Linked DNA regions of Danio rerio. The protein of the gene in region 2 binds, or shares a complex with, the protein of the main gene of each other region. Links are inferred from orthologs where the notes say so. Each region holds a gene or a part of one and is shown on either strand. Other genes may lie near its edges.

The links.
Region 1: cnot10 (region 2) and cnot7 share a complex: the UniProt entries of both Homo sapiens proteins name them as parts of the CCR4-NOT complex. The link is inferred for Danio rerio from reciprocal best matches to the Homo sapiens genes CNOT10 and CNOT7.

The regions. Positions count from the first base shown.
Region 1 is NC_133189.1:34,925,786-34,929,611, reverse strand, and holds part of cnot7 (CCR4-NOT transcription complex subunit 7), read right to left. Parts: intron 2,018-3,826; coding exon of another isoform or gene 1,991-2,017; coding exon 1,846-1,990; intron 621-1,845; coding exon 510-620; intron 413-509; coding exon 281-412; 3' UTR 1-280. UniProt on the Homo sapiens protein: Has 3'-5' poly(A) exoribonuclease activity for synthetic poly(A) RNA substrate. Its function seems to be partially redundant with that of CNOT8.
Region 2 is NC_133191.1:8,036,074-8,040,596, reverse strand, and holds the start of cnot10 (CCR4-NOT transcription complex subunit 10), read right to left. Parts: upstream 2,916-4,523; 5' UTR 2,766-2,915; coding exon 2,747-2,765; intron 2,368-2,746; exon of another isoform or gene 2,305-2,367; intron 1,212-2,304; coding exon 1,117-1,211; intron 1,023-1,116; coding exon 861-1,022; intron 1-860. UniProt on the Homo sapiens protein: Component of the CCR4-NOT complex which is one of the major cellular mRNA deadenylases and is linked to various cellular processes including bulk mRNA degradation, miRNA-mediated repression, translational repression during translational initiation and general transcription regulation.

The DNA.
Region 1 (3,826 bases), on a different chromosome or scaffold from region 2:
TAAAAAGTAGCTTAATATTAAGGCTGAGCTGTGGGAGGGAAAAAAAACCTAAAACACCAAATGGTTCGTCTTCTTTAACTATAAAAGATGAACTTTGTGTGAAAAGATTTAACCCAGAGAAGGCAACAAAGGGAAGAAGTTTTTCTCCGATCTGTTGGATTGGAGCTTTAAAGTGCAAATTCCTATCAAATCTCTCATGGAAAACAAAACAAGGACAACTAAAAAGCCAAGTTTTAAGCCCTGTATATGAGGTTGTTTATGGTGAGGGATTGTTGTTGTGTCATGACTGCTGCTTGTTGGCCTCCTCCTCGTAGGCATTTCCGGTACCGTTCTGGACATAGGATGAGCCTGAACCCAGTCCGTATAAGTGACCACAATACTTTGCATCATCAATGTGATCTTCAAAAAACATCTGCAATGACAATGTTCTTAAAGTCAGTATGCAGTGCCACTTTAACATATCAAATAAGATTAGCATTTTTTTGGCTATTGTTTAGCTGAAGGCACACCTCTCTCATCTTGAAGAAAGCCATTCCTGTGAGGAGCGAATCAGAGCCTGCTTGATGCTGAGGTCCGATTCTCTCCAGCTCCAGCTGCTCTGCCACCTCCTGCAGGCCACCCTGCGCAGCACAGCACAAATCACACTTACACATACACACACTTCATACTTCAGTGCTGCACTGACGACAGTGCTGCCATCCAAAAACTGTGATGCCTTTAAAAAGCATTCACACTCAGGTTTATTTTGCAAAGCACGCACACGCACGCACACACACACACAAAACGCATTATGCCTTTTTTTTTTTTACTGGTTAACAAAAACATATCAATGTTAGGCATGGGCTGGTATAAGATTCTGACGTGTGACAGATAAAAATATCACGGTTTCATGGTCATATGTATATAATTTGGAAACACAGACTTCTTTACTATTTAAAACCACATCATTGGATATCTTTTCTGCTGGAGATTTCTTTTCTTTCTGTTGTCCTAAAAAAACAAAAAAGAAAATAAATAAAAATCTTACCACAGGAGTGGCATAGCAGAAAATCGTGGCGGTTTTTAAACCTTGAAAACAATTATCATCTCATGTCGCCTGTGTATTATTATTATTTATAAATAAATATTTATTATTTATTTATTTTTCCAAGTGATGTTTAACAGAGCCAGAAAAATTTCAGTATTTTCAATTATATATTTTTTTCTGCAGAAAGTATTTTATTTAAAAACTTTTAATAATTTAGGTATTTTATTTATTTAACAATTTTTTATTTTATGTTTTAGTTTGGCAAAAATGTAACAAACCACTGCTGTCCAATTTATCCTAGTACCAGTAGTATCCTATTTGCCCAGTTAACCTTAGTAACTACCTTAAACCACTTTAGGATTACTTAAAATCACAAAAAAATGTTTTTAATAAATAAAATCATTTAGTGGTAAATAGAAATGTATTTACAAAAACTATGGGAACATTAGTAAATATTATCTATTCATAATGGCAAAGACAACAGAAATATCATTCGTTATTAAATCTATTATGTTTAAATGTTTTGAAAAAATGTTAAACAGCACTTTAGAAATATATTAAAAAAATTCAGAAATGTTGTTCAGATAAAAATTGGTAAATAGAAATATAGTTAGAAAAATTACAGATGTCTTTAAGTGACTTTCAAAATATCTAAATAGAAAACAACTTAATAAAAATAAATGCATTTTCTTTTAAGTGACTTACAAGCAAGCAGAAATAATTGTAGACATATATACATATTAGTTTCAAATGAGAAACATGTTTTTACAGCACATTTCACACATGCTGCTAATTTCTTAACAGTAATAATAAAATACCTTCAAGTTCTTACAGCTCTTCATGAGGTATTTCACATCATAAATGATGGGGAAAAATAAACGAAGAATCTCAAAGAAGTCGACCTCTTCATCTGGCAACTTCGAGTTGGACAAAATTTTAATCAGGTACCCAAAGTCATAGCCGCTGTTTAAAAGAAACACAAGAATATGCCTGAAAATAAAGAAGAATAATTGAAGATGTCACAGCTTTAGATTTTACACTTTAAATGGAGCCACAGCTTGAATCTCCACTGAAACACTGCATTCGTTTCAGTATGTCTGGTCCATATGACAAAAAGCATGTCACGATTTAAGTAATTTCATATCCCGATACGATATATATCACGATATGGTACCATTTCTGTAAATTCAATCAATTAATGGTGTATATATAAACTTATCGGCCACTTTATTAAGTACACCTGTCCAACTGCTCATTAATGCAAAATTTCTATGCAGCCAATCACATGGCAGCAACTCAATGCATTTAGGCATGTAGACATGATCAAGATGATCTGCTGCTGTTCAAATCGAGTATCAGAATGGGGAAGAAAGGTGATTTATGTAACTTTGAACACGGCATGGTTGTGCCAGGTGGGCTGCTCTGAGTATTTCAGAATCTGCTGATCTACTGGGATTTCCATGCACAACCATCTCTAGGGTTTACAGAAAATAGTCAGAAAAAGAGAAAATATCCAGTGAGCGGTAGTTATGTGGACACCAGAGGTCCGAGGCGAATAACCACTGTTACAACTGAGATATGCAGAAGAACATCTGTAAACGCACAACATGTCAAACCCTTGAAGCAAATGATCAACAGCAGCAGAAGACCACACCGAGTGCCACTCCTGTCTGCTAAGAAAAAGGAAACTGAGGCAACAATTTGCACAGGCTCACCAAAATCGAAGATTGAAAAAAATGTTGCCTTTTCTAATGAGTGCATCAGCATCAGTGCATCTGCTGCAATATTTGGATGATAGGGTCAGAATTTGGCGTCCACAACCTGAAAGCATGGATCCATCCTGCCTTGTTTCAACGGTTCAGGATGCTGGTGGTGGTGTAACGGTGAGGAGGATATTTTCTTGACACATCTTGCTCCCGTTAATACCAATTGGGCATTGTGTCAACACCACAGCCTACCTGATATTGTTGCTGACCACATCCATCCCTTTATGACCACAGTGTACCCATCTTCTGATGGCTACTTCCAGCAGGATAATGTGCCATGTCATAAAGTGTGAATCATCTCGTACTGGTTTCTTGAACATGACAATGAGTTCTCAAATGGCCTCCACAGTCACCGGACTTCAATCTAATAGAGCATCTTTGGGAGTGGGAGATTGGCATCACAGATGTGCAGCCGACCAATCTGCAGCAATTGGGTGATGCTATCATGTCAATATGGAGCAAAATCTCTGAAGAATATTTCCAGTACCTTGTTGAATCTATATCATGAAGGATTTTGGCACTTCTGAAGGCAAAAGTGGGTTTAACTCGGTACTAGTAAGGTGTACCTAATAAAGTGGCCGGTGAGTGTATATTGACCACATTTAAAGGACTAATACTTTTTTAAAATTTAAAGTACATAATCAGAAAAGTACTCATTCATGTGTGATCATATTTCTCAATTTACTTAGAACATCGGGACAAATGTTTAATTCCAGAAATTGTAAATAAATCTGAACAAAATATGAACCAATTTTCAAAAATGCTTAATCGTAAAATAAAATGCAAAATGTAAACATTGCACTTTCAAGATTACACCTTTCTCATGCTGCTAGTCATGTGTCCGTGTCCAATCCCGTAATGGTGTGTATTATTGCACTCATATCAACTATAAAAAAAATTACTAAAAGCAATGTATTTTTTGACATCACAAAATAAACAGTAGAGCATAATATGAAACTATATACTTTTTATTTTGTCCACATATACACTACCTGACAAAAGTCTTGTCGTTGATTCCAGTTGTAAGAGCAAC
Region 2 (4,523 bases):
ATTGTCATTTGTTAGACAAAATTGGTAAATCAAATTGATGCACCAACACTTCAGTTAATTTATTATTATTTTTTTTTTCTGAAACATCAGTTTGGGCCCAAAAGTGTTTCGATGTGTGGGCTGCAGTAGAGATCTAAAATTTGTAATCCCGCTCCCGGGGGTTGATGTGTTCGCGAACGGAGGAGCAAAGGCAAAAACCACCCAGCTACATGATACAGGGTCCAGACAGCCTATAACAAGCTGTCTGTATAAGCACACACACACATAGATGCACAGCCCCAAGCAAGCGACACACAGCATCACACTCTCACATTCACACACATACATACACGTGCTCGCTCGGGAGTCGAGAGCGATATTGTTAGACCGCCCCCTCCAATTCAAATAACAACAGTTACCGACCGCTCCCACACTTAATTTAGAAATTTATACCATGATACAAGAAATCTAGTCGAGTCCTGCGGCTGTACAATGGGAGCTGCGGGACTCGACTAGATTTCTTGCATCATGGTATAAATCATTCCACAAGATGTTGGTAAATAAAAATGACTATTATTTACAAGAATGTAATAAATTGATCAAAAATTACTTTTTTCTAAAATATTTGAATCATACTGATGTCATATGTCAAAGCTAAATCAATGTTTAATATATAGAAAGAGATGAATAAAACAGTGTCCATAATGTGCCATTTATCTCAAAAAATATATTATATATGTTAATATTGAATAATTTATTAAAAAAAGATTAAACCCTATGATTAAAAAATAAATATCATTTTGGTGCATCCTTAATTTTCCTCTCCAACTCAAAGCCTTCACTTTTAGCATCCCTTAATAGAGACATCAGTGATACCATACCTGATTCTTCAAGGTCATCAGCGTCTGCTTCAAGGTGCTGCTTGTTGTCTGCCCACTTTTATAAAACTCAGTGACCGCTTTGTTCATTGTAATCTTGTAGTCCTCTTTGTTCAGCTCCTGAAGGTTGTCAAGATATTTCAGAGACTCGTCATAGCTTCCAGTCTGGAAGAAAAACGCAATATAATGTCACAGAGATCTGGAAAAAATAATCACAAAAAATATGTCTTTCACAGACATCTATATAATAACTATTTACCTTAAACGCCTCGAAAGCATTGGTTGCAACCTCTTTCTCTAAATCCGACATCCCAGGGGATGAAGCGATGTCATGCTTCATGTCACCAGATTGATCTTAAAAGAAAACAGATGCAGTTAATGACAGGACATATTCAACTCATGCAGTATTCAATTGAGGTAAAGATTGTTTTATTTTCGCACATTCGTTCAGTGAAAACAACTTGTGACTAGGCATTGGGCAATAACCGTTTACAAGGTATACCAGGTTTGAAAAAGTCAAGGTTTTAAACCCGCAAAAATGCTCTACTGTACCATTCCTAAGATAAGTGTAAGAATGTTTTTTTTTTTTTTTACGTTTTTTAGGATAACAGTATCTCCAACAGAAAATATATTTAAAGATGCCATTTTAAATTGTAATGAAATCAGTGTTTTTGAAAATAATGAAGACAGCAGAGGTCAATGACTCATTTAAATTATGTAGTTTGACATGTTTAGAGCTCCAAAATATTATAAATGTTTCTCAAAATAAAATATATTGAGTTCAATGGGGAATAGTTTTTTTTTAATAATAATAGAGCAATTATCAAAATAATGTGAAACCATGAGATTTTTATCCAAGGTTATCATCCTGTGAGAATTCTTTAGCCTACTTGTGACATGCTCACTACATAGTTTAGCATGGTAATTAAAATATATTCAGTCTGAAATCACACCGAATTATAACTTGAAAACAACATCAGCACTATTTATTTGACTGTGAACAATGTTGTACTTTAAAAGTCTAATATGATTTCAATATTTAGAATTTGCAAAGAATATTTTTTTTTTAATTATGTTAAGGAAAAAGTCAGAATGTGTGAATGAATATAAAACTAACTTTACCTCAATACTGAGGTAAAGTTGGTTTTATATTTACACATTAATTCGGTGTCAACTTGTGACACACTCCCTATTAGAGGCAAAGTTGGTTTTATATTTGCACATTTGTTTATTTGGAAGTCTCTATATTGTTTACCATGGTACTTTGAATATTCGATCGGAATTAGCATGCAAGTGTGACTTAAAAACAACATCAACACTGTTTAATTGACTTTGATAGTCACTGGCTGCTAGTATGATTTCGCCATTTAGAGTTTGCAAATAATAATTTTATGAAATTATATTATTAAGGAAAAGTCTGAATGTGCAAATATAAAACCAACTTTACCTCTATTACCTCAATGAATATCCACGGACAGCACTGACAGCCATTATATGACTGCAAACTGCACTAAACAATAAAAACAAAAGCATTTGTCATATATTTAAACAGCTATTTAAATAAAATGCTAACTCAAAATCCTAAATGTTACACAATAATATGCATTAAAGCATTATTTATATTCTAAACTAACTATAAACAACATAACTCATTTAACGTACAAGCATTACTGGGCAAGTTCATTAACAGTTAGCTATCTATTTAGACGTTGTTATTCAAACTATGCACTGTAAACCAAACTACAAACTTTTATAAAGCTACAAATGTAAAACTTATAAACAAAACAAGAATCTGTTTGCGGTAAAATCCTCTGTTTACATGCCCGGCTGCGCTGGAGAACAGCTGCAGTGTTTTGCAAGACCCGCTGTATGTCAAACACGCCGCCTACCTGAGCCTGTTTCAGCCATTCCTTCAGTTATATGGACGATAATTCACTTTTTCAACAGATAAAGGTGTAATTAATTCCACAATTTGAACCGACGGAGAGAAAACGGAGAAGGTGTGTCTCTTCTTAGCAGCTTCAGAATTCCGCCATGAATATTACCCACAACCGCCGCGCGAGTGTTTTTTTCAAACCGGAATTTATGTTCGCGATTGACATCTATCGGGTTGGAGGAAAAACTACAACTATTTTTTTTTATAGTTCACTCAAAATACGATAACATTCTGTCATCGTTTAACAATCGTTAACAACCTGTTTGACTTACTTTCTACAGTTGAACACCTGTAACCATGACAGATTCGCCTCGCCCCTTTACTACAAACTAGTACGTTAGAAAAGTAGGTGTGCTAGACCTTTTTTATAAAATGCACAATTGCACATTATGCTTTGCGTGTAAGCATGAGTCAAGTCAAGTCAACTTTAATGTCAATCAAACCATGCAACAGTACATTACACAGCAGACTGAAACTGCGTTTCTCCCACACTCCAATGTGCAATTTAAAAACAAAAATATGACACACACTAGACATAAACTAAACATTTAACTAATATAGTACAAGATAAATTAAATAATAGACACTAATAAACTGTGAACAGCTACCATGTATCCTAAGAACAGCTACCATATATCCTAAAACAGCTACCATATATCCAGCTACCATATATCCCATAAGAAGGATGCTTTGAACTTCTGGTCTGCAGCTTGATGTGTATCTTCAAGGAGCTTAGAATGACCAAGCAGCGACACTCAATAGAACATTCCAATGCAACAGCAGCGCCCATTTCACCATCCAGCTTATCCAGCAAGTTTTTATGCAGCGGATGCCCTTCCAGCTGCAACCCATCTCTGGGAAACATCCACACACACATTCACACACACACTCACTACAGAAAATTTAGCTTTCCCAATTCACCTGTACCGCATGTCTTTGGACTGTGGGGGAAACAGGAGCACCCGGAGGAAACGCAGGGAGAACATGCAAACTCCACATAGAAACGCCAACTGATTCGAGGCTTGAACCAGCGACCCAACGACCTTCCTGCTGTGAGGTGACAGCACTACCTACTGCGCCGCTGCCTCATGAAAAGCAGCTGTTTTGTTTTTTATTTATTCATTTAAAAAGCCGACAAAGCTGAAATACAACCTGAAAGACGACAATACAACACTTACAATCATAGACTGGTGATTATCAGCACTTTTAATAGTTTACTTTACAGAATGTTTAATAAATTAACCATATTTGTTTTCTTGAAACTGTCCCTTTTAGGTGAAATTACTTTAAGTTACTTTAATAGTTTTCGGACTGGCATATTACCTACTGACATGTTAAAATAAATTAACATGACTTTCAATATGGGATGTTGATAACAGATTAGCAGTACTTTTTGTTGGAGCATTATATTATAATAGTACATGGTATTTTCTTCAGTGTTGTCTATTAAAAAAGACTTTCCTTCTTTTTAAAAAGCTTCTTTCTCCAAATTTATTTATACATACAGTACATACATATATACACACACACACACACACACACACACACATATATATATATATATATATATATATATATATATATATATATATATATATATATATATATATATATATATTTTTTTTTTTTTTTTTTTTTTGTATACTCATTTTTTCTCCACCCTAATTTGAGTAAAACAAAACAAAAAAATAGTAATTAAGTTATTTTGTTAACCTTACTTTTATGTTACA